2 linked regions of the Anolis sagrei genome follow. The protein of the gene in region 1 binds, or shares a complex with, the protein of each later gene. Links are inferred from orthologs where the notes say so. Each region holds a gene or a part of one and is shown on either strand. Other genes may lie near its edges.

Region 1 (10,160 bases):
AGGTTGCCTTTGAAGACTGCTCGGAAGCTTCAAATAGTCCAACAAGAGGCAGCCAGGTTAATAACTGGGGCGGCATACAGGGAGCATACCACTCCCATGTTATGCCAGCACCACTGGCTGCCAGTTTGCTACCAGGCACAATTCAAAGTGCTGGCTTTGGCCTACAAAGCCCTAAACAGCCCCAGCCCAAATTACCTGTCCAAATGCATCTCTCCCTATGAACCATCGTGGAGATTAAGATCCTCCAGGGAGGCCCTGCTCTCCGTCCCACCATCGTCACAGGTGCGATTGGTGGGGACAAGAGACAGAACCTTCTCGGTGATTGCTTTTGCAAGCTATTTCAGTTCATATTGTGTTAAGATACGGGAAGCTTTTTCTTTTATAGAGATTGACCAATAAATTCCATATGTGGGGTTGTGAGCCCTTCATAAATATAGAATTATGTGATCCTGAAATGTATCATTGTGGACAGTATGCTAACTTTAAGTTAACTGAAACCAATAGTTTTGCATGACATTTAGGTAGAACTATCAAGAATGATTTCTTCATCGTCAATCCCAAACGTTATGAATTTATAAAATTTATTTAAAAACCTTAATGACAGCGTAACTCTTAATGGGTTGCTATGAGTTTCTGGGCTGTATGACCATGTTCCAGAAGCATTCTCTCCTGATGTTTTGCCCACATCTATGGCAGGCATTCTCAGAGGTTGTGAGACCTCACAATCTCTGAGGATGCCTGCGATAGCTGTGGGCAAAACCTCAGGAGAGAATGCTTCTAGAACATGGCTATATAGCCTGAAAAAGTCAGAGCAACCCAGTGATTCCCGCTGTGAGAGCCTTTGACAACACATAACTCTTAATGTTTCTTGCCAATAGCGATTATTCTGTCAACCCCCCCCCCAAACAAAAATATTTTAAAAATCAGAACAAGCCTAGTGATTGTGGGTTGTATATTCCACAGACTGTCAGATTTTAAAGCTGCCTTAAATAATTATATTCTCAAATATTATTCCAGCAAGATGAGCATTAGGTTTGGGCTTACTCTCAACACATTTTCCCCAAGGATGCTGTTTTTGCATCCAGGCCTGTAATCTCTCTTGGCAGGAACCTGGCTTTTGAACGGTTTCTGTGATTTGAAGCCAGCGTTGAGTTTCGGTTGAGAAAGCATTGATGTGAAAGAGGAGCTTCCAGATTCCTCCAGGACTGATGTTCTCCCTCTTCCCTGACAACAACCCTAAATACAAACACTTTTGTTCTATTCTGCACATATACTTTAGTCCAAATAATGAATGTAAAATATGTGGAAGAAAACAATAACACAGAAATAAATACAATTTTCTCAGAAACTGCTTATGAAATCCCACCAGCAAACTGTACTGTTTTTAAATACTCTCCCAATAGGATGGCTGTTTAATCTGTGTGCGGAAGAACTGTGACAAATCCAAAGAAAAAATGCATTGCTGTTACACAATGCCAATACAAAGAAGGGCAGATTTTCAGCCTTATAAATGTGCAACCATTTATTCTATTTCGTTTGCTCAAAAATTGCCTTCATTTCCACATAAACATTTCATGCCTTGTGGACAAATGAGGTTGGTAAGATCAATACAAATGATATTCATACTGTCTTTCATAATGATAGAAATATTGGGAATATTACTTATTTCATTTATATTCTGGATTTTCTCCTAAAACTAGGGTGCATCTACATTCGAGTATTAATGCAATTTGATACCACTTTAACTGCTGTGGCCCAATGCTTTGGGGTCGTGGGAGCTGTAATTTTATGAGGTCTAGCCTTCTCTGCCATAGGTTGGTATCTCATTAAACTATCGCCCCAAGTTTTCATAAGCTTTGAGCCATGGCAGTTAAAGTGGTATCAAACTGCATTAATTCTACAGTGTAGATTATCCTTTGATTGGGGTTAAAATAAGTTAGATCGGAGTGTACTACCTCTCACACAGCTGAATAAAATCCCACATTTTCTGCTTTGAACTGGAATATATGGCAGTGTGGGCTCAGTTCAAAGCAGATATTGGGGGATTTTCTGCCATGATATTCTGGATTATACGGCTGTGTGGAAGGGCTCACAGAAAGTGCTGACCATGAATTATCTTACAGACTTCAATATTTCATAAGTGTCACATGATGTCAAGGAATACACAAAGCGAGTACACAAATGAAATAATATAACCCGGCTTACCTATCTGAACGTATTTCCCCTTATGAACCTTCTAGGATGTTAAGATCTTCTGGGGAAGCCCTGTTCTCGCTCCTGCCTACTTCGCAGTTGTGTCTGGCGGAGACGAGAGACACGGCCTTCTCAGCGGTGACCCCTCAACTGTGGAATGCCCTGCCTAGAGATATAAGATCGGTTCCCTCCCTTCTGACTTTTTGAAAGAAGGTGAAAACCTGGCTTTTTGAGCAGGCCTTCCCAAACACAGCATAGCTAAAGGAAATTATGGAACAACACAATGGAATAATGATTTGGCATGGAGACGCTCATGACAATGCTTTAAGGCTTTGTACGGTTTTTATATATTTTTATATTTTTATACTATATGTTATTGTATTTAATAGAATTTATTGACTGTTTTTACTGTTTAATTGATATGGCATGGAATTGTTGCTAATTTGTGAACCGCTCCGAGCCACCTCTGGGCTGAGAGGGGCAGTATATAAATATAGTAAATAAATAAATAATAAATAAATAACTGCCATTTCATTGTTCCTGGTTATTACTCTGCTTGTCCTTCCACCTAGCTCCCAGTTTGACATTCTATTATTTCATGTGTCTATCACTAAACACCGCCACAAATTAAGGAAGACTGACAGTTGTAGTTTTTGAGGGAGATATCACTTTGGCCTCATCTACACTGCCATATAATGCAGTTTGAAGCTGCATTGTATGTACAGTGAAGACCAGGAATGGGCAAACTTTGACCCTCCAGGTGTTTTGCACCACCGGTAGGTAGGCTGTTAGGAATTATGGAAATTGCAGTCCACAACATCTGGAGGGCTAAGGTTTGTCCATGCCTGGTGTAGACTCATGTAATGCAGTTCAATTCAGGCTGGATTTGCACTGCTGTATAATCCAGTTCAGAGCAGATAATCTGGATTTTATATGGCAGTGTAGTAGGGGCCTTAGTCCTCTAGAATGTCATTTTGGGTCACCAGCCTGCAACAGTTGTCCTGGCCACTCCTGATATGAATAGGATTATAGTCAAACCAAAACTATTTGCTGACACCTGCTGGTCAATATAAATATAGCAATTCATAGGACCCAATACATCTGATGGAAAGAGATACTAAAAATGTTCAAGTACCTAATAACAATACATTGACCATTAACAGCATTCTGATTGTAATTCTGAGACATTGGCTTCTTCATCAGACAAAGATGTTAAAAAGCATGCACAAGTAAAAGAGTGATGCTATTAGAGTCTCAGGCCTTTATTCTAACAGATGGCATGGAGAGTCTTCAATGCAGTCAAAGGCTCTTCACTGTAAAGTCTTGTGAAGACGGGAGGAAGTTGCTTCTACACTATAGAATTAATGCAGTTTGACATCATTGTAATAGCTTTCCTTTTGGTAAAAAAAAAAGTTATATTTATTTATCGTACCAGGAGCGAACCAAGGGTACAATTGTATTGCATTTTTTTTAAAAAAACAACAACATAAAGTTTGAAAACTTAGCATTATATTACATGTCTTGTCGAAGGCTTTCATGGCTGGAATCACTGGGTTGTTGTAGGCTTTTCGGGCTCTATGGCCATGTTCTAGAGGCATTCTCTCCTGATGTTTCGCTGCATCTATGGCAAGCATCCTCACAACCTCTGAGGATTATTATTTTTTTGTCGTGTCAGGAGCGACTTGAGAAACTGCAAGTCGCTTCTGGTGTGAGAGAATTGGCCGTCTGCAAGGATGTTGCCCAGGGGACGCCCGGATGATTTGATGTTTTTATCATCCTTGTGGGAAGCTTCTCTCATATCCCCGCATGAGGAGCGGGAGTTGATAGAGGGAGCTCATCCGCCTCTCCCCTGATTCGAACCTGCAACCTGTCGGTCTTCAATCCTGCCAGCACAGGGATTTAACCCACTGTGCCACCGGGGGCTCCACCTCTGAGGATGCTTGCCATAGATGCAGCGAAACGTCAGGAGAGAATGCCTCTAGAATATGGCCATATAGCCTGAAAAGCCTACAACAACCCATGTTACATGCCCTTTGACCAGTAGCTGGCCACTTGGAGTGCCTCTGGTGTTGCTATAAGAACGTCCTCCATTGTGCATGCGGCAGGGCTCAGGATGCATTGTAATAGGTGGTAATAATGATAAGGATAAAGATGATGATGATGATGATGATGATGATGATGATAGAGGTGCTTTGCAGTGGATCAATTGGCAGTTCCATCGTAACTGCTTTCCTTTCCATTGAGAATACTATCAGTGGGTTGCTGTGAGTTTTCTGGGCTGTATAGCCAGAAAATGGACATCTCTCCTGACGTTTCACCCACATCTATGGCAGGAATCCTCAGAGGTTGTGAGGTCTGTTGGAAACTAGGCAAGTGAGGTTCATATATCTGTGGATAGTCCAGGGTGGAAGAAAGAACTCTTGTCTGCTTGAGGCAAGTGTGAATGTTGCAAATGGCCACCTTGATTAGCATTGAATTGCCTTGCAGCTTCAATGCCTGGCTGGTTGCTGCCTGGGGGAATCCTTTGTTGGGATGGTAGCTGATCCTGATTGTTTCCTGCCTGCAATTCGGCAGCCAGGATGCTAACAGGAGCGGCACTCAGGGAGCACACCACTCCACTGCTGCGCCAGCTCCACTGGCTGCCAATTTGCTACCGGGCACAATTCAAAGTGCTGGTTTTAGCCTTTAAAGCCCTAAACGGTTCAGGCCCGACCTACCTGTCCGAACGCGTCTCCTCCTATGAACCAGTTAGGACATTAAGATCATCTGGGGAGGCCCTGCTCTCGATCCCGCCGGCTTCACAAGCACGCCTGGCGGGGACGAGAGACAGGGCCTTCTCAGTGGTGGCCCCTTGGCTGTGCAACGCCCTTCCTGTAGATATTAGATCGACCCCCTCCTTGCTGGCATTCCGGAGGAAAGTAAAGACCTGGCTGTTTGAACAGGCATTCGACTAAGCAGTGTGATTGATTGACTGACTATCGGAACACGGAATATTGGATAACGAGTTGGATTCTGATTTCATTGCTGAGGCCTGATGGATTTGTTATATTGATGTAGTGATGTATTGATACTGATGTTTAATGATTTGTGATGCTATTGCTTTTAAATGCTTAATGATGGACTACGCTTGGATGATGAGAAGATTGGATACGGTTGTTTTTTGTAATAATTGTGCATTGTAATTGCTTATTGGTAATTTATGGATAATGTGTTAAGTCAATTGTTTTATGTTGTATGGAACCACTGCTGTTTCTACTGTTTTTACTGTTTGTGAACCGCCGTGAGTCGCCTTCGGGCTTGAGATACAGCGGTATATAAGCAAAGTAAATAAATATTGTGTATACCTAAATTGTTGTAAACCGCTCTGAGTCTCCTAAGGGCTGAGAAGAGCGGTATACAAATAAAGTAAATAAATAAATTCCCCTGTTTTCTTGGTGTTGTTCTTTATTTACTGTCCTGATTTTAGAGATTTTTTAAAATACTGGTAGCCATATTTTGTTCATTTTCATGGTTTCCTCCTTTCTGTTTTAATTGTCCACATGCTTATGGATTTCAATGGCTTCTCTGTGTAGTCTGACATGGTGGTTGCTAGAGTGGTCTAGCATTTCTGTGTTCTCAAATAATTTGCTGTGCCCAGTTTGGTGCTCTGCTTTGGCTGACTTCTCTGTTGAAGTAGCCTTTCATATTCCTTGAGTCGTGTTTCCCAAAGGCTGGCCCCCTAGGCGTTTTGGACTTCAACTCCCAGAATCCCTGATCATTGGCCAAAGCAGCAGAGGCTTCTGGGAGTTGAAGTAAAAAAAAAGCCCGGAAGTGCCTCACTGATAATCCTAGTCTCTAAATTCCATCGAACATTGGCAGCTGTAGCCCCGCCTCTATTGTGCGAAACGAGCCAATCAGAGCGTGGCTTTCCCCCCAACAGACAGAACGCCATAGAAAGAGGGGATAAAATAAATAGCAGAAGGAGGGAAAAATGCGCGGGTGAAAGGTCATTAGGAAGACGGAACTAGCTGGACGTCACTTCCGAGTATTTCATTTAGAGCTCTGGCGGGCACACGTGCTGCCTGAGAGTAATTTTTGTGTGCTTGCAGCCTCCCCTTCCTTGGCCGGGTTGCTATGGTGAGTGCCTTTGTCTTTGGGAGGAAAGAGGGGCTTTGCTGCGGGCCTTAGGCCCTCGGGAGCCGGATCATAGTGAGGTTCAGGCGGGAGGAAGGAAGGAAAGGGCGGCTGGGAGGCCCCACAGCCTCGGATATAGTGGGCTGGGAAGCCAGCCCTTGGATACAAGCGTCCACCTGCTTGTCTCCCTCGAATACATTGGACTACAAGGCCCCTTATCCTCATGGCAGGGAGCAGTGGGTGATGGGAGTTGTAGTATTTATTTTTTATTTATTTACGACATTTATATGCCTCTCTTCTCACCCCGAAGGGGACTCAGAGCGGCTTACAAGGTATATATATACACACACACATACATACATACAATATATGATATTAATAGTACAGTACAATATCAGTATTAAATATTACTATATTGTATTATACCATTATATTTTAATATTATTAGTAATATAAATATATAATTATAATATATTAGTATTATATTGCAATGCATTATAATATTATAAATATTATATGTATATCTATCTATATAAAATGCTCTGTGCATAATGAGTACCTTAAAAACAAAAGAACCAATGAACGAAATCCCACCAAATTTGGCAACAAAATGTCTCACTACACAAGGAGTGACCATCACTCAAAAAAACTATGATTTCGTCATTTGGGAGTTGTAGTTGTTGGGATTTGTAGTTCACCTATAATCAAAGAGCATTCTGAACTCCACCAACAGTGGAATTGAACCAAACTTGGCACACAGGTTTGGTGGGCATTGACCTTGAGTTTGGGAATTGTAGTTCACCTACATCCAGAGAGCACTGTGGACTCAAACAATGATGGATCTAGACCAAACTTGGCATGAATACTCAATACGCCCAAATATGAACACAGATGGAGTTTTGGGGAAATAGACCTTGACATTTGCGAGTTGTAGTTACTGGGATTTATAGTTCTCCTGCAATCAAAGAGCATTCTGAACCCCACCAACGACAGAATTGGGGCAAATGAACCCCCATGACCAACAGAAAATATGTAAGGCCATCCAGTCCAACTCCCTTCACCAGGGCAAGAAAACGTAATCAAAACCCTCCTGACAAAGAGCCATCCAGCCATAGATATAGATAGATATATATGATTCACACACACACAAATATAATATTATAGATTTGAAAGGGACCCCTAAAGTAGGACAATGTTATGTTGCATGTTCCAGGGTGGGCAAACCATACACTCTCCACATCAACACTGACAAAGAAACAACAAGAAATACTGTTTACCCACAAGCAGAAAGAAATTACATAGATTAGAAACCATTACTTTATTTTTCAGATCACCAGACTGGGCCACAGCAATGCGTGGCAGGGGACAGCTAGTATAATTATAATATATTAGTATTATATTGCATTACATTATATATATATATAAATTAGAATAGCACAGGAGACAAGGTGGAACTGTCTTCTACTCCCCTCTGTCTTCACTCTGGCCCAGAGCAGCAGTTGGTACTTGGGGGAGGGGTCCCCAACTGATGACGCAGTGTATAGAGGAATGTCAGGTTTGGATCACACTGTAGATCAGGCACAGGCAAACTTCAACCCTTCCGGTGTTTTGGACTTCAATTCCTAACAGCCGGTAGGGTTACAGCCTGTGCTTGACAGGGTTACATTCCCCCTGAAGGTGCAGGTGTGATCCTGGACTCATCGCTGAGCCTGGAACCCCAGGTTTTGGCGGTGGCCAGGAGAGCTTTTGCACAGTTAAAACTTGTGCACCAGCTGCACCCGTACCTTGGGAAGCCTGAATTGGCCATGGTGGTCCACGCTCTTGTTACATCCCAAATAGACTACTGCAATGCACTCTACATGGGGTTGCCTCTGAAGACTGCCCGGAAGCTTCAACTAGTCCAACGTTCGGCAGCCAGATTGCTCACTGGGGCTGGGTACAGGGAGCTCACAGCGCCCTTGTTACGCCAGCTCCACTGGCTACCTATCAGCATCTGAGCACAATTCAAAATCCTGGCTTTGGCCTATAAAGCCCTGAACGGTTCTGGCCTAGTTTACTTGTTCAAACGTATCTCCCGCTACGATCCACCTAGGGCCCGAAGATCATCTGGGGAGATCCTGCTCGTTGTTCCCCCATTGTCACAATCGCATCTGGCGGGGACCAGGGGCAGGGCCTTTTCTGTGGTGACCGCCGGCTATGGAACTCCCTCCCGAGTGAAATTAGATCCCCTGCATCCCTCTTCACCTTCCAGAAACAAGTAAAATCTTGGCAATGCGATCAGGCCTTTGTAGATTAGGCTGACTTGCTGACGTGTTGACTTATACAGAACTGATGGACTCCCCTTGGATGATGATTTAAACCGGTGACCACTGACTGATTGATTGATCGTTTTTATACTGTTATTACTGTTATTGTTATTATATTGCCGTTAAATTGTGTATTTATGTTTTTGATGTGGGCGCCATGGTGTGCCGATTTGTTAGCCATCCTGAGTCCCTCTGCTGAGGTTGAGATAGGGTGGGATATAAAAGCCCGAAATAAATAAATAAATAAATAATAAGAGGTTGTAATTTCAAACAGTGGGCTACATTTTTTTTTTGATCCAATGTAGTTCTTAAAGTTCTGCTTTGACTTTAAACTGAGGCTATTGAAAATTGTGAGGCATAAAGCTTTAACAACTGATCAGGAACATACATTACCATATGAGAAGCAGTATATTTCTGTGAAAGAACACAAGTGATGTCCTCATGCATTGCTTTCTTTATGCATCTAGTATTCAGCGTGTGAGTAGAATGCCTTTTTTCTGATTTATCAGATTTCTTACATTCCACTTTGTCCCATGCAGAGTTTGCCTCTCAATCCAAAGCCCTTCCTAAATGGGCTGACTGGGAAGCCAGTGATGGTGAAATTGAAGTGGGGAATGGAATATAAGGGCTACCTCGTGTCTGTTGATGGCTACATGAACATGCAGGTAAACGGTTGCAGGAGAAAACCCAATGGAAATAACTTCTTAGTACAGGGACAAGTATCCAAGCATCCTATATTGTAGGGACAAAATGTTTACGGTGCTTTACTGTTTAGATGCAGCAATAATTTGGATGTGAGTAAATAAGATTTAAAGGTGTTGCTCAGTCAGAGAGCTTAACTCTGTTCAGTAATGGGATTGCATCCCCTTGAAATATCAGGCACATAGTTTAAGAATACCTTTGTGGTCTGCTTTCATGCTAAATGTTTAGATGGCAGTAATGGCCAGGAAGTCTTTTGCACAGTTTTTGATAATGTGCTAGACATGCTAGATAAATCAAATAGTCAATGTTATTCATGCCCTCATCAGAACTTGCTGACCAAAAGGTTGGCACTTCGCAACCGGGGAATGGGTGAACTCCCACTGTTAGCCCCTGCTTCTACAGGAAGGTAACGGCACTCCATACAGTCTGGCACATGACCTTGGAGGTGTTTGCGGGCAACGCAGGCTCTTCGACTTAGAAATGGTGATGAGCACCACCCCCTAGAGTCTGACATGACTAGACTTAATGTCAAGGGGAAACCTTTACCTTAATACACTCTACGTGATGTTTTCTTTTAAAGTTATTTGGAAACATTCAAGTAGTACTAAACATGACGGCCAAATTTATTTGTGAATTTACTTGCATAGTACTCCAATTTTATCTGATTTCTACTGGCTTCTGTATTTTTTTAAAAAAAATCAACTTGTTAATAAAAAGCAAATACAAGGTTTCATGAACATGGGATGAAAGTGAAACAGTTTAATTTAATATAATGGGTCCCTGGATGCTCTTGGAACAGCTTGCAAATTTTGGAGGAAACACTCAACCTATTTGTCTTGCATTCAG
Region 2 (10,913 bases), on another chromosome or scaffold:
ATATCACAAAGGATGACCATCTCGCCCGTTTCATAGGAAATCTGCTTCAAAACAGGAGCTTTTTTGTTGAGTTCCAGGGCCAGAGAAGCAGATGGCGGAAACAGAAGAACGGCCTGCCTCCGGGGAGCGTGCTTGCTCCATCCATGTTTAACGTTGACACAAATAACCAGCCATTGCCAGAAGGGACAGAAAGTTTAATCTACGCTGACGACAGTGCTATCACCGCCCAAGCAGGGAGCCTTGAAATGGTTGAACAGAAGCTCTCCGAAGCTTTAGGTCGGTAGTTCTCAACCTTCCTAATGCCTCTTAATAAAGCTCCTCATATTTAACATTTATACCAATGACCAGCCACTGCCAGAAGGGACAGAGAGTTTCATCTACGCTGATGATCATGCCATCACCACCCAAGCAGGGAGCTTTGAAATGGCTGAACAGAAGCTCTCCAAAACTTTCGATGCTCTTAACTGCCTCTTACAGGGAAAACCAGCTGATCCCAAATCCACCTAAAACACAGACATGTGCCTTTCCCCTTAAGAACAGATAAGCATCCCGAGCTCTGAGGATTATGACCTGGGAAGGAATCCCACTGGAGCATTGCAACGCACCCAAATACCTGGGAGTCACCCTGGACCGTACTCTGACCTACAAGAAGCACTGCCTGAACATCAAGCAAAAAGTGGGCGCTAGAAATATCATACGAAAGCTGACTGGCACAACCTGGGGTTCACAACTAGACACAGTGACGGCATCTGCCCTTGTGCTTGTCTACGCTGCTGTGAGCATGCAGCAGAGTAGCAACGATCTATATGAAGATATATCTAATCAAAAGCAATAGATCTATGTGAAGATATATATAAATTATATATATATATAAATTATATATATAATTATATATATAAGATATATATAAATAATTATAAGATATATATAATTATAAGTTATAGATGAAGATCTATACAATCAAAAGCAAAGACATATATGAAGATATATATATATAGATATATATAAAAATCAAAAGCAATATATTGCAATATAATAATAACATAATATAAAATAATAATTGTAATTTAACATATATAACTAGAATAATATCTTATAATCATTTCAATCCAATAATGTAACTTAGGAAACGCTGCCATTCGTTCCTAAAGAAAACACCACAAAATTTACTCTCTTTTTATATATTATTTTTATTTTTATTTAATATTTTTCCCCCAAAAATAAAAAAAGTTCCAAATATCTCTTTATTTACATCTGAAGTTGAGCAACAGCGCCACCTGGAGGCCACTGGGTTGAAAAGCACCTCTGCGGCAGAATCATAATAATAGTAACCTCAAAGAGGTATCAAACTGGGTTAACTCTGCAGTGCAGACATACCCAGAATATATATGTGTCCGCGTATCTCCCTCCCTCTCCCTCCAGGTCTTCAATACACGGCCTCGTCCATGTTGTCGTCGCTGTCGGCCCCGAAATCCTCTCCGTTGTCGAAATAAGTAGTCCGTTTAACCTCAGCAGACTGAAAGCCAAAACCAAAGTCACAACAACATCCGTTATAGAACTCCAGTATGCTGATGACAATGTCGTCTGCGCGCATTCAGAAGAAGACCTACAAGCCACTCTCAACACCTTCACAGAAGCATACGAGAAGCTTGGCCTGTCATTGAACATCGAGAAAACCAAAGTGCTCTTCCAGGAGTCACCAGCCAACCCCTCCCCAATGCCAGAGATACAGCTTAATGGTGTAACATTAGAAAATGTTGACCATTTCTGCTAACTTGGCAGCCACCTCTCCGCCAAAGTCAACATCGACACTGAAATACAACACTGCCTAAGCTCTGCAAGTGCAGCATTTTTCCGAATGAAGCAGAGTGTTTGAGGACCGGGACATCCATAGGGATACCAAGGGGCTTGTTTATAAAGCTATTGTCCTCCCAACCCTGCTTTACGCCTGTGAAACGTGGACTGTCTATAGTCATCAACATTGACAACGAAATACAACACTGCCTGAGCTCTGCAAGTGCAGCATTTTTCTGAATAAAGCAGAGAGTGTTTGAGGACCGGGACATCCGTAAGGAGACCAAGGTGCTTGTCTATAGAGCCGTTGTCCTCCCAACCCTGCTCTATGCCTGTGAGACGTGGACAGTCTACAGACGTCAACATTGACACTGAAATACAACACCGCCTGAGCTCTGCAAGCGCAGCATTTTCCCGAATGAAGCAGAGAGTATTTGAGGACTGGGACATCCGTAGGGAGACCAAGGTGCTTGTTTATAGAGCTATTGTCCTCCCAATCCTGCTATATGCCTGTGAGATGTGGACTGTCTACAGACGTCAACATTGACACTGAAATACAACACCGCCTGAGCTCTGCATTTTCCCGAATGAAGCAGAGAGTATTTGAGGACCGGGACATCCGTAGGGAGACCAAGGTGCTTGTTTATAGAGCTATTGTCCTCCCAATCCTGCTATATGCCTGCAAAACGTGGACTGTCTACAGACGTCACATGCAACTCCTGGAACGATTCCATCAGCGCTGCCTCTGGAAAATCCTGCAAATCTCTTGGGAAGACAAGCGGACCAATGTCAGCGTGCTGGAAGAAGCAAAGACCACCAGCATTGAAGCGATGGTCCTCCGCCACCAACTCCGCTGGACCGGCCATGTTGTCCGGATGCCTGACCACCATCTCCCAAAGAAGTTGTTCTACTCCGAACTCAAGAAAACGGAATGTTGGAGGGCAGGAAAAGAGTTTCAAAGATGGGCTCAAAGCCAACCTCAAAAACTCTGGCATAGACACTGAGAACTGGGAAGCCCTGGCCCTTGAGCGCTCCAGCTGGAGGTCAGCTGTGATCAGCAGTGCTGCAGAATTCGAGGAGGCACAAATGGAGGGCGAAAGGGAGAAACGTGTCAAGAGGAAGGTGCATCAAGCCAACCCCGACCAAGACCGCCTTCCACCTGGAAACCGATGCCCTCACTGTGGGAGAAGATGCGGGTCAAGAAGAGGGCTCCACAGCCACATACGGACCCACAAGAATATTGGAAGACAATCATCCTCGGAAAGCGAGGGATCGCCTAAGTAAGTAAGTAATATATTAATAGTAAAGGTCAGGGTGTTTTAAATATATGATTATTATATGTAATATTATATATTGTTATATTATTATATACAATATTATTATATATTGTTATATTAATAGTAATAATATTGCAATTTAGGATATATCATGATATTATTGTCATATAGTAATAGTAAAGGTAATGGTGTTTAAAATATATTATTATATATAATATTATTATATATTTTTATATTAATAGTATTACAAAGTAATAGCGTTTTTAGTATTTCTTATGGTCTATCTGTCGCCATGTTGTTGTTCATTCGTTCAATCGTCTCTGACTCTTCGTGACCTCATGGACCAGCCCACGCCAGAGCTCCCTGTCGGCCGTCACCACCCCCAGCTCCTTCAAGGTCAGTCCAGTCACTTCAAGGATGCCATCCATCCACCTTGCCCTTGGTCGGCCCCTCTTCCTTTTGCCTTCCACTTTCCCCAGCATCATTCCCTTCTCTAGGCTTTGCTGTCTCCTCATGATGTGGCCAAAGGACTTCCACTTTGTCTCTAGTCTCCTTCCCTCCAGTGAGCAGCCGGGTTTTATTTCCTGGAGGATGGACTGGTTGGATCTTCTCGCAGTCCAAGGCACTCTCAGCACTTTCCTCCAACACCAGAGTTCAAAAGCATCTCTCTTTCTTTGCTCAGCCTTCCCTCAGGTCCAGCTCTCACATCCGTAGGTGACTACAGGGAAGACCATGGCTTTGACTAGGCAATGGATCTTGGTTGCCAGTCTGATGTCTCTACTCTTGACTATCTTATCAAGACTGGACATTGCTCTCCTCCCAAGGAGGAAGCGTCTCCTGATTTCCTGGCCACAGTCTGCGTCTGCACTCATCTTTGCGCCTAGAAATGCAAAGTCTGTCTCGGCCTCCACATTTTCTCCCTCTATTTTCCAGTTGTCAATCATTCTTGTTGCCATAATCTTGGTTTTTTTGACGTTTAGCTGCAACCCGGCTTTTGCGCTTTCTTCTTTCGCCTTGATGAGAAGGCTCCTCAGCTCCTCCTCGCTTTCGGCCATCAGAGTGGTGTCATCTGCATATCTGAGGTTGTGAATGTTTCTTCCAGCAATTTCCACCCCAGCTTTGCATTCCTCAAGCCCCGCACATCCTCGCATGATGTGTTCTGCATACAAGTTAAAAAGGTTGGGTGAGAGGATGCAGCCTTGCCGGACGCCTTTCCCAATCTGGAACCTGTCTCCTGTTCCGTGGTCAGTTCTGACTGTTGCTCCTTGGTCCTTGTACAGATTCCTCAGGAGAGAGGGGAGGGGGCTTGGGATGCCCATCCCACCAAGAACTTGCCACAATTTATGATGATCCACACAGTCAAAGGCTTTAGAAGAGTCAATGAAGCAGAAATAGACAAGAAAGAGGTCCTCCTGGTCGATCGTAAACCTGACCGGGGTATAGGGTGGCAACCTGTGTTGGACGGGGTTACACTCCCCCTGAAGCCACAGGTCCGCAGTTTGGGAGTCCTCTTGGATTCATCACTGACGCTTGAGGCTCAGGAGTCGGCGGTGTCCGGAAGGGCTTTTGCACAACTGAGACTCGTGCGCCAGCTGCGACCGTACCTCGCGAAGGCTGATCTGGCCTTCTAGTCTGATCCTCTAGACTGGATTACTGCAATGCGCTCTATGTAGGGCTGCCCTTGAAAACGGCTCGGAAATTCCAATTGGTCCAACGGGCAGCAGCCAGGATGTTAACTGGTGCTCCTTACAGAGAGAGGTCAACCCTCCTGTTTAAGGAGCTCCACTGGCTGCCATTTATTTTCCGAGGCCAATTTAAGGTGCAGGTGCTCACCTACAAAGCCCTGAACGGTTTGGGACCACCCTACCTGCGTGACCGCATCTCCATCTATGAGCCCACATGCTCACTCCGGTCATCTGGAGAGGCCCTGCTCGTGATCCCGCCTGTGTCGCAAGCGCGCTTGGTGGGGACGCGAGACAGGGCCTTTTCTGTGGTGGCCCCCCAACTCTGGAACACCCTCCCAAGGGATCTTAGACAGGCCCCTACATTGGCAGTCTTCAGGAAGAACCTGAATACCTGGCTGTTCCGATGTGTCTTTTCAGATTAGGAACCTCAATACCAAGTCCTTGATGCACTTTAGTAGAACCATGATCTCTACACACCGCACACTGCACTTATTTTAAAACCCTATATTCCTCCCGCAATATCAGCACTTTTAATCCTGTACCCACTACTCTGGCCGGCCCAGTTTTAATAATTGTTTTGATGTATTGTTACTGTTATTGTTTACTCTGCTTAACTATTTTTAATTTGCTTTATGTATTGTATTGTTGTATTGTGTTTTGAGGCCTCGGCCTATGTAAGCCGCATTGAGTCCCTTGGGAGATGCTAGCGGGGTACAAATAAAGTTATAAGAATAATAATAATCCCTCAGTTCTTGTGGGTTTTTTCGGGCTATATGGCCATGTTCTAGAGGCATTTCTCCTGACGTTTCGCCTGCATCTATGGCAGGCTTCCTCAGAGGTCTGCCATAGATGCAGGCGAAACGTCAGGAGAAATGCCTCTAGAACATGGCCATATAGCCCGAAAAAACCCACAAGAACTGAGGGATTCCGGCCATGAAAGCCTTTGACAATAATAATAATAATAATAATAATATATTTTTCTGAAACTCCCTGCTTTTCTCCAGCATCGGGATATTGGCAATCTGGTCTCTGGTTCCTTTGCCTTTTCTAAACCCAGCTTGAACATCTGGCAACTCTCGCTCCATGTCTTGCTGGAGTCTTCTTCCTTGCAGGGAGACCTTTCTAGGGATTTTCGCAACAGGCCGGAACCTTTCTTTTCCCCGGAAGTGAGTCTCATCAGGATTATTTTGGTGACGGACCGGAAGTGTGAGCCTATCAGGGGACTTTCGCAACAGACCGGAACCTTTCTTTCCCCGGAAGTGGGTCTCATCGGGATTATTTCGGTGACGGACCAGAAGTGAGAGCCTATCCGGGGATTTTCGCAACATACCGGAACCTTTCTTTCCCCCGGAAGTGGGTCTCATCGGGATTATTTCGGTGACGGACCAGAAGTGAGAGCCTATCCGGGGATTTTCGCAACATACCGGAACCTTTCTTTCCCCCGGAAGTGGGTCTCATCGGGATTATTTCGGTGACGGACCAGAAGTGTGAGCCTATCCGGGGATTTTCGCAACATACCGGAACCTTTCTTTCCCCCGGAAGTGGGTCTCATCGGGATTATTTCGGTGACGGACCAGAAGTGAGAGCCTATCCGGGGATTTTCGCAACATACCGGAACCTTTCTTTCCCCCGGAAGTGGGTCTCATCGGGATTATTTCGGTGACGGACCAGAAGTGAGAGCCTATCAGGGGACTTTCGCAACAGACCGGAACCTTTCTTTCCCCCGGAAGTGGGTCTCATCGGGATTATTTTGGCGACGGACCGGAAGTGTGAGCCTATCCGGGGATTTTCGCAACAGAGCAGAACCTTTTTTTCACCCGGAAGTGAGTCTTATCGGGATTATTTTGGTGCCTGGCCGGAAGTGTGAGCCTCCCCTCAGTGCAGAGTCAAGGAAGCGTCTCTGTGGAGCGGAAGCGCGGCCATTGTCCGCCGCGATGGGCTCCTCGAAGCGGCACCGGGAGCGGGGCGAGGCCCCTGAGGAGAATCCGCCTCCTTCCTCCGGGGCTCCGCCGGCCTCGTCTTCCTCCTCGTCGTCGTCCCGGCACCACCGGGAGCACAAGAAGCACAAGCACCGCAGCGGAGGGGGAGGCGGAAGCGGAGGAGGAGGAGGGAGCAGCGGCGCCGGGAGCAAGCGCAGCGGGAGCCGGGCCGAGCGGAGCCGACAGCGGGGAGGAGGCGGAGGAGGAGGAGAAGAAGGCCCGTCCTCGTCGTCCTCGCAGCGGAGGCAGGAGGGCGAGCGGAGGCCCAAGAGGGAGAAGCGCGGAGAGGCCCACGAGCAGGCCCCACAGGGAGCAAGTGAGGAATCATCATCATCATCATAACAATAATAACTAGCTGTCCCCGCCACGCATTGTTATGGTCAACCTTCCTTCCCTCTTTCCTTCCTTCCCTCCCTCTTTTTCTTTCCCTTCTTCTTTCTTCCTTCCCTACCTGTTTCTTTCCTCACTTCCTTTGCTCTTTGGTTCCATCCTTCCTTGTCTCTTTCCTTCCTTCCCTCCCTCTTTCTCTCTTTCATTCCTTCTCTCCTTCCTTCCCTCTCTCTTTCCTTCTTTCACTTTTTAATTCCTTCTCTCCTTCCTTCCTTCTCTACTTTTCTTTCCTTCCCCCCTCTTTTTCTTTCCCTTCTTCTTTCTTCCTTTTCTACACTTCTTTCTTTCCTTCATTTTCTCCTTCTCTCCTTCTCACTTCCTTTGCTCTTTGGTTCCATCCTTCCTTGTCTCTTTCCTTCCTTCCCTCCCTCTTTCTCTCTTTCATTCCTTCTCTCCTTCCTTCCTTCCCTCTCTCTTTCCTTCTTTCACTTTTTTAATTCCTTCTCTCCTTCCTTCTCTACTTTTCTTTCCTTCCCCCCTCTTTTTCTCTTTGTTCCTTCTCTCCTTCCCTCCCTCTTTTTCTTTCCCTTCTTCTTTCTTCCTTTTCTACACTTCTTTCTTTCCTTCATTTTCTCCTTCTCTCCTTCTCACTTCCTTTGCTCTTTGGTTCCATCCTTCCTTGTCTCTTTCCTTCCTTCCCTCCCTCTTTCTCTCCTTCCTTCCCCCCCTTTCCTTCTTTCACTTTTTTAAATACTTTCTTCCTTCTTTGCCTTTCTCTCCTTCTTTCTTTCTCTCCTTCCTTCCCTCCCTCTTTTTCTTTCCCTTCTTCTTTCTTCCTTCTCTACCTGTTTCTTTTCTCGCTTCCTTTGCTCTTTGGTTCCATCCCTCCTTGTCTCTTTCCTTCCTTCCTTCCCTCTTTCTTTCATTCCTTCTCTCCTTCCTTCCCTCTTTCACTTAGTTTATTCTCTCATTCCTTCCTTCTCTACCCTTCTTTCTTTCCTTCTTTCTCTCCTTCCCTCCTTCCTTCTCTTTCTTTCCTTCCTTCCCTCCTTCCCTCTTTCTTTCCCTCTTTCTGTCTCTCCTTCCTTCCCTACCCTTCTTTCCTTCCTTCTCTCCTTCCCTCCTCCTTTCCCTCTTTCTCTCCTTCCTTCCTTCTCTACCCTTCTTTCTTTCCTTCTTTCTCTCCTTCCCTTCTTCTCTCCCTCCTTTCTTCTCTTTCTTTCCTTCTTTCTCTCCTTCCCTTCTTCTCTCCCTCCTTTCTTCTCTTTCTTTCCTTCTTTCACTCCTTCCCTCTTTCTCTCCCTCCTTCTCTCCTTCCTTCCTTCTCTACCCTTCTTTCTTTCCTTAATTCTCTCCTTCCCTCCTCCTTTCCCTCTTTCTTTCCCTTCTTCTCTCCTTCCTTCCTTCTCTACACGTCTTTCTTTCCTTCTTTATCTCCTTCCCTCCTTTCCGTTCTTCTCTACCTCCTTCCTTCATTCTCTTTCTTTCCTTCATTCTCTCCTTCCCTTCTTCTTTCCCTTCTTCTCTCCCTCCTTCCTTCTTTTTCCTTCCTTCTTTCCCTCCTCCTCTCCTTTTTTCCTTCCTTCTCTACCCTTCTTTCTTTCCTTCCTTTTCTCCTTCCCTCCTTTCCCTTCTTCTCTCCCTCCTTCCCTCTCTTTCTATCCTTCTTTCCTTCCTTCCTTCTCTACCCTTCTTTCTCTCCTTCCTTCCTTCTGTACCCTTCTTTCTTTCCTTCTTTATCTCCACCCCTCCTCCTTTCCCTCCTCTCCTTTTTTCCTTCCTTCTCTACCCTTCTTTCTTTCCTTCTTTCTCTCCTTCCCTCCTTCCTTCTCCGCAGGAGGCCCAAGCGGGAGAAGCGCGGGAAGGCCCATGAGCAGGCCGCCCAGGGAGCCGGTGAGAGAGCAGGGGAAGCTCCAGGCGTCTCCCTTCTTGCCTCCTTCTTTCCTCCTCCCTGCTCTTTTTTTTCCTTCTTCTGCCCTTCCTTCTTTCTCCCCATTCTTCTTTTGTCCTTCTCCTCCTTCTCAATTTATTTATTTATGTATTTACTAGCTATCCCCTGCCAGGGCGTTGCTGTGGCCCAGTCTGGTGATCTGGAAAATCTATCTATATAAATAAAAATGTCATATTTATTTGTGGCATTAACGTAACTCAAAAACCACTGGACAAATTGACACCAAATTTGGACACAAGACACCTAACAACCCAATGTATGTCCTTCACACAATTTTTTTTGAAACTTTCATTTGGGAGTTGTAGTTGCTGAGATTTATAGTTCACCTACAATCAAAGAGCATTCTGAACCCCACAGACGATGGAATTGAGCCAAACTTGGCACACAGGACTTCCATGACAAACAGAAAATACTGGAAGGGTTTGGTTGGAATTGACCTTGAGTTTGGGAATTGTAGTTCACCTACATCTAGAGAGCACTGTGGACTCAAACAATGATGGATCTGGACCAAACTTGGCACAAGCACTCAATACACCCAAATATGAACACAGATGGAGTTTGGGGGAAATAGACTTTTGACATTTGGGAGTGGTAATCACTGGGATTTATAGTTCATCTACAACCAAAGAGCATTCTGAATCCCATCAGCGATAGAATTGGGCTAAACTTCCCACGCAGAACCCCCATGACCAACAGAAAGTACTGAAGGCCATCCAGTCCAACTCCCTTCACCAGGGCAAGAAAACCCAATCAAAGCCCTCCTGACAAAGAGCCATCCAGCCATAGATAGAGATAGATATGCTTCACACACAGAGAGATATATTATCATAGCTTTGAAAGGGACCCTTGAAGAAGGACTATGATATGTTGCCTGTTCCAGGGTGGGCAAACCAGACACTCTCCACATCAACACTGACAAAATAAACAACAAGAAATACTGCTTACTCACAAACATAAAGAAATTACATGTATTAGAAACCAGCACTTTCTCGTTACTTTACTTTTGAGATCACCACACTGGACCACAGCAACACATGGCAGGGGATGGCCAGTATCTATATAAATAAAAATGTAATGCTCGTTTGTGGGATTAACATAACGCAAAAACCACTGGACGAATGGACACCAAATATGGACAAAATACACCTGTGAGGCCAACAAGTGACCATCACTCATAAAAACACTGAAAAACACTACAGAAGAGACTTTAAAAGACAAAAAAATAAAAATACGTTACAACGCATGCACAAAACCACATATATAAACAAACACACATATATACACACATATATGCATGTATATATACACACAAAACACATATACACAGAAAGGGGGAAGGAAGGAAAGAGAGAAAGAAGGGGGAAAGGAGAGAAGGAAGGAAAGAAAGGTAGAGAAGGAAGGAAGGAGAGGATTTCCTCTTTCTCCTGAGGTGGCAGGCAGATGTAGTAAGCAACAGCCAGGAGACAGGTGTTTGTAAAGTCTCTTCCTCCGTCCCCTTTCTCCTCTTAGCAGGCTAGGGAGGGGGAGAGTAGTACCAGGATTTTTTCCTTCTCCTCCTGAGGTGGCAGGCAGATGTAGAAAGCAACAGCCAGGAGACGGGTGTTTTTAAAGTCTCTTCCTTAGTCTCCTTCCTCCTCTTAGCTGGCCTGGGAGGGGGAGAGTAGTACCAGGATTTTTTCCTTCTCCTCCTGAGGTGGCAGGCAGATGTAGTAAGCAACAGCCAGGAGACAGGTGTTTGTAAAGTCTCTTCCTCCGTCCCCTTTCTCCTCTTAGCAGGCTAGGGAGGGGGAGAGTAGTACCAGGATTTTTTCCTTCTCCTCCTGAGGTGTCAGGCAGATGTAGAAAGCAACAGCCAGGAGACGGGTGTTTTTAAAGTCTCTTCCTTAGTCTCCTTCCT

What was found.
Region 2: SNRPF (region 1) and SART1 share a complex: the UniProt entries of both Homo sapiens proteins name them as parts of the U4/U6-U5 tri-snRNP complex. The link is inferred for Anolis sagrei from reciprocal best matches to the Homo sapiens genes SNRPF and SART1.

Annotation. Positions count from the first base shown.
Region 1 is NC_090025.1:155,431,699-155,441,858, forward strand, and holds the start of SNRPF (small nuclear ribonucleoprotein F), read left to right. Parts: upstream 1-6,161; 5' UTR 6,162-6,306; coding exon 6,307-6,309; intron 6,310-9,151; coding exon 9,152-9,277; intron 9,278-10,160. UniProt on the Homo sapiens protein: Plays a role in pre-mRNA splicing as a core component of the spliceosomal U1, U2, U4 and U5 small nuclear ribonucleoproteins (snRNPs), the building blocks of the spliceosome.
Region 2 is NC_090032.1:21,962,851-21,973,763, forward strand, and holds the start of SART1 (U4/U6.U5 tri-snRNP-associated protein 1), read left to right. Parts: upstream 1-6,636; 5' UTR 6,637-6,690; coding exon 6,691-7,051; intron 7,052-10,913. UniProt on the Homo sapiens protein: Plays a role in mRNA splicing as a component of the U4/U6-U5 tri-snRNP, one of the building blocks of the spliceosome. May also bind to DNA.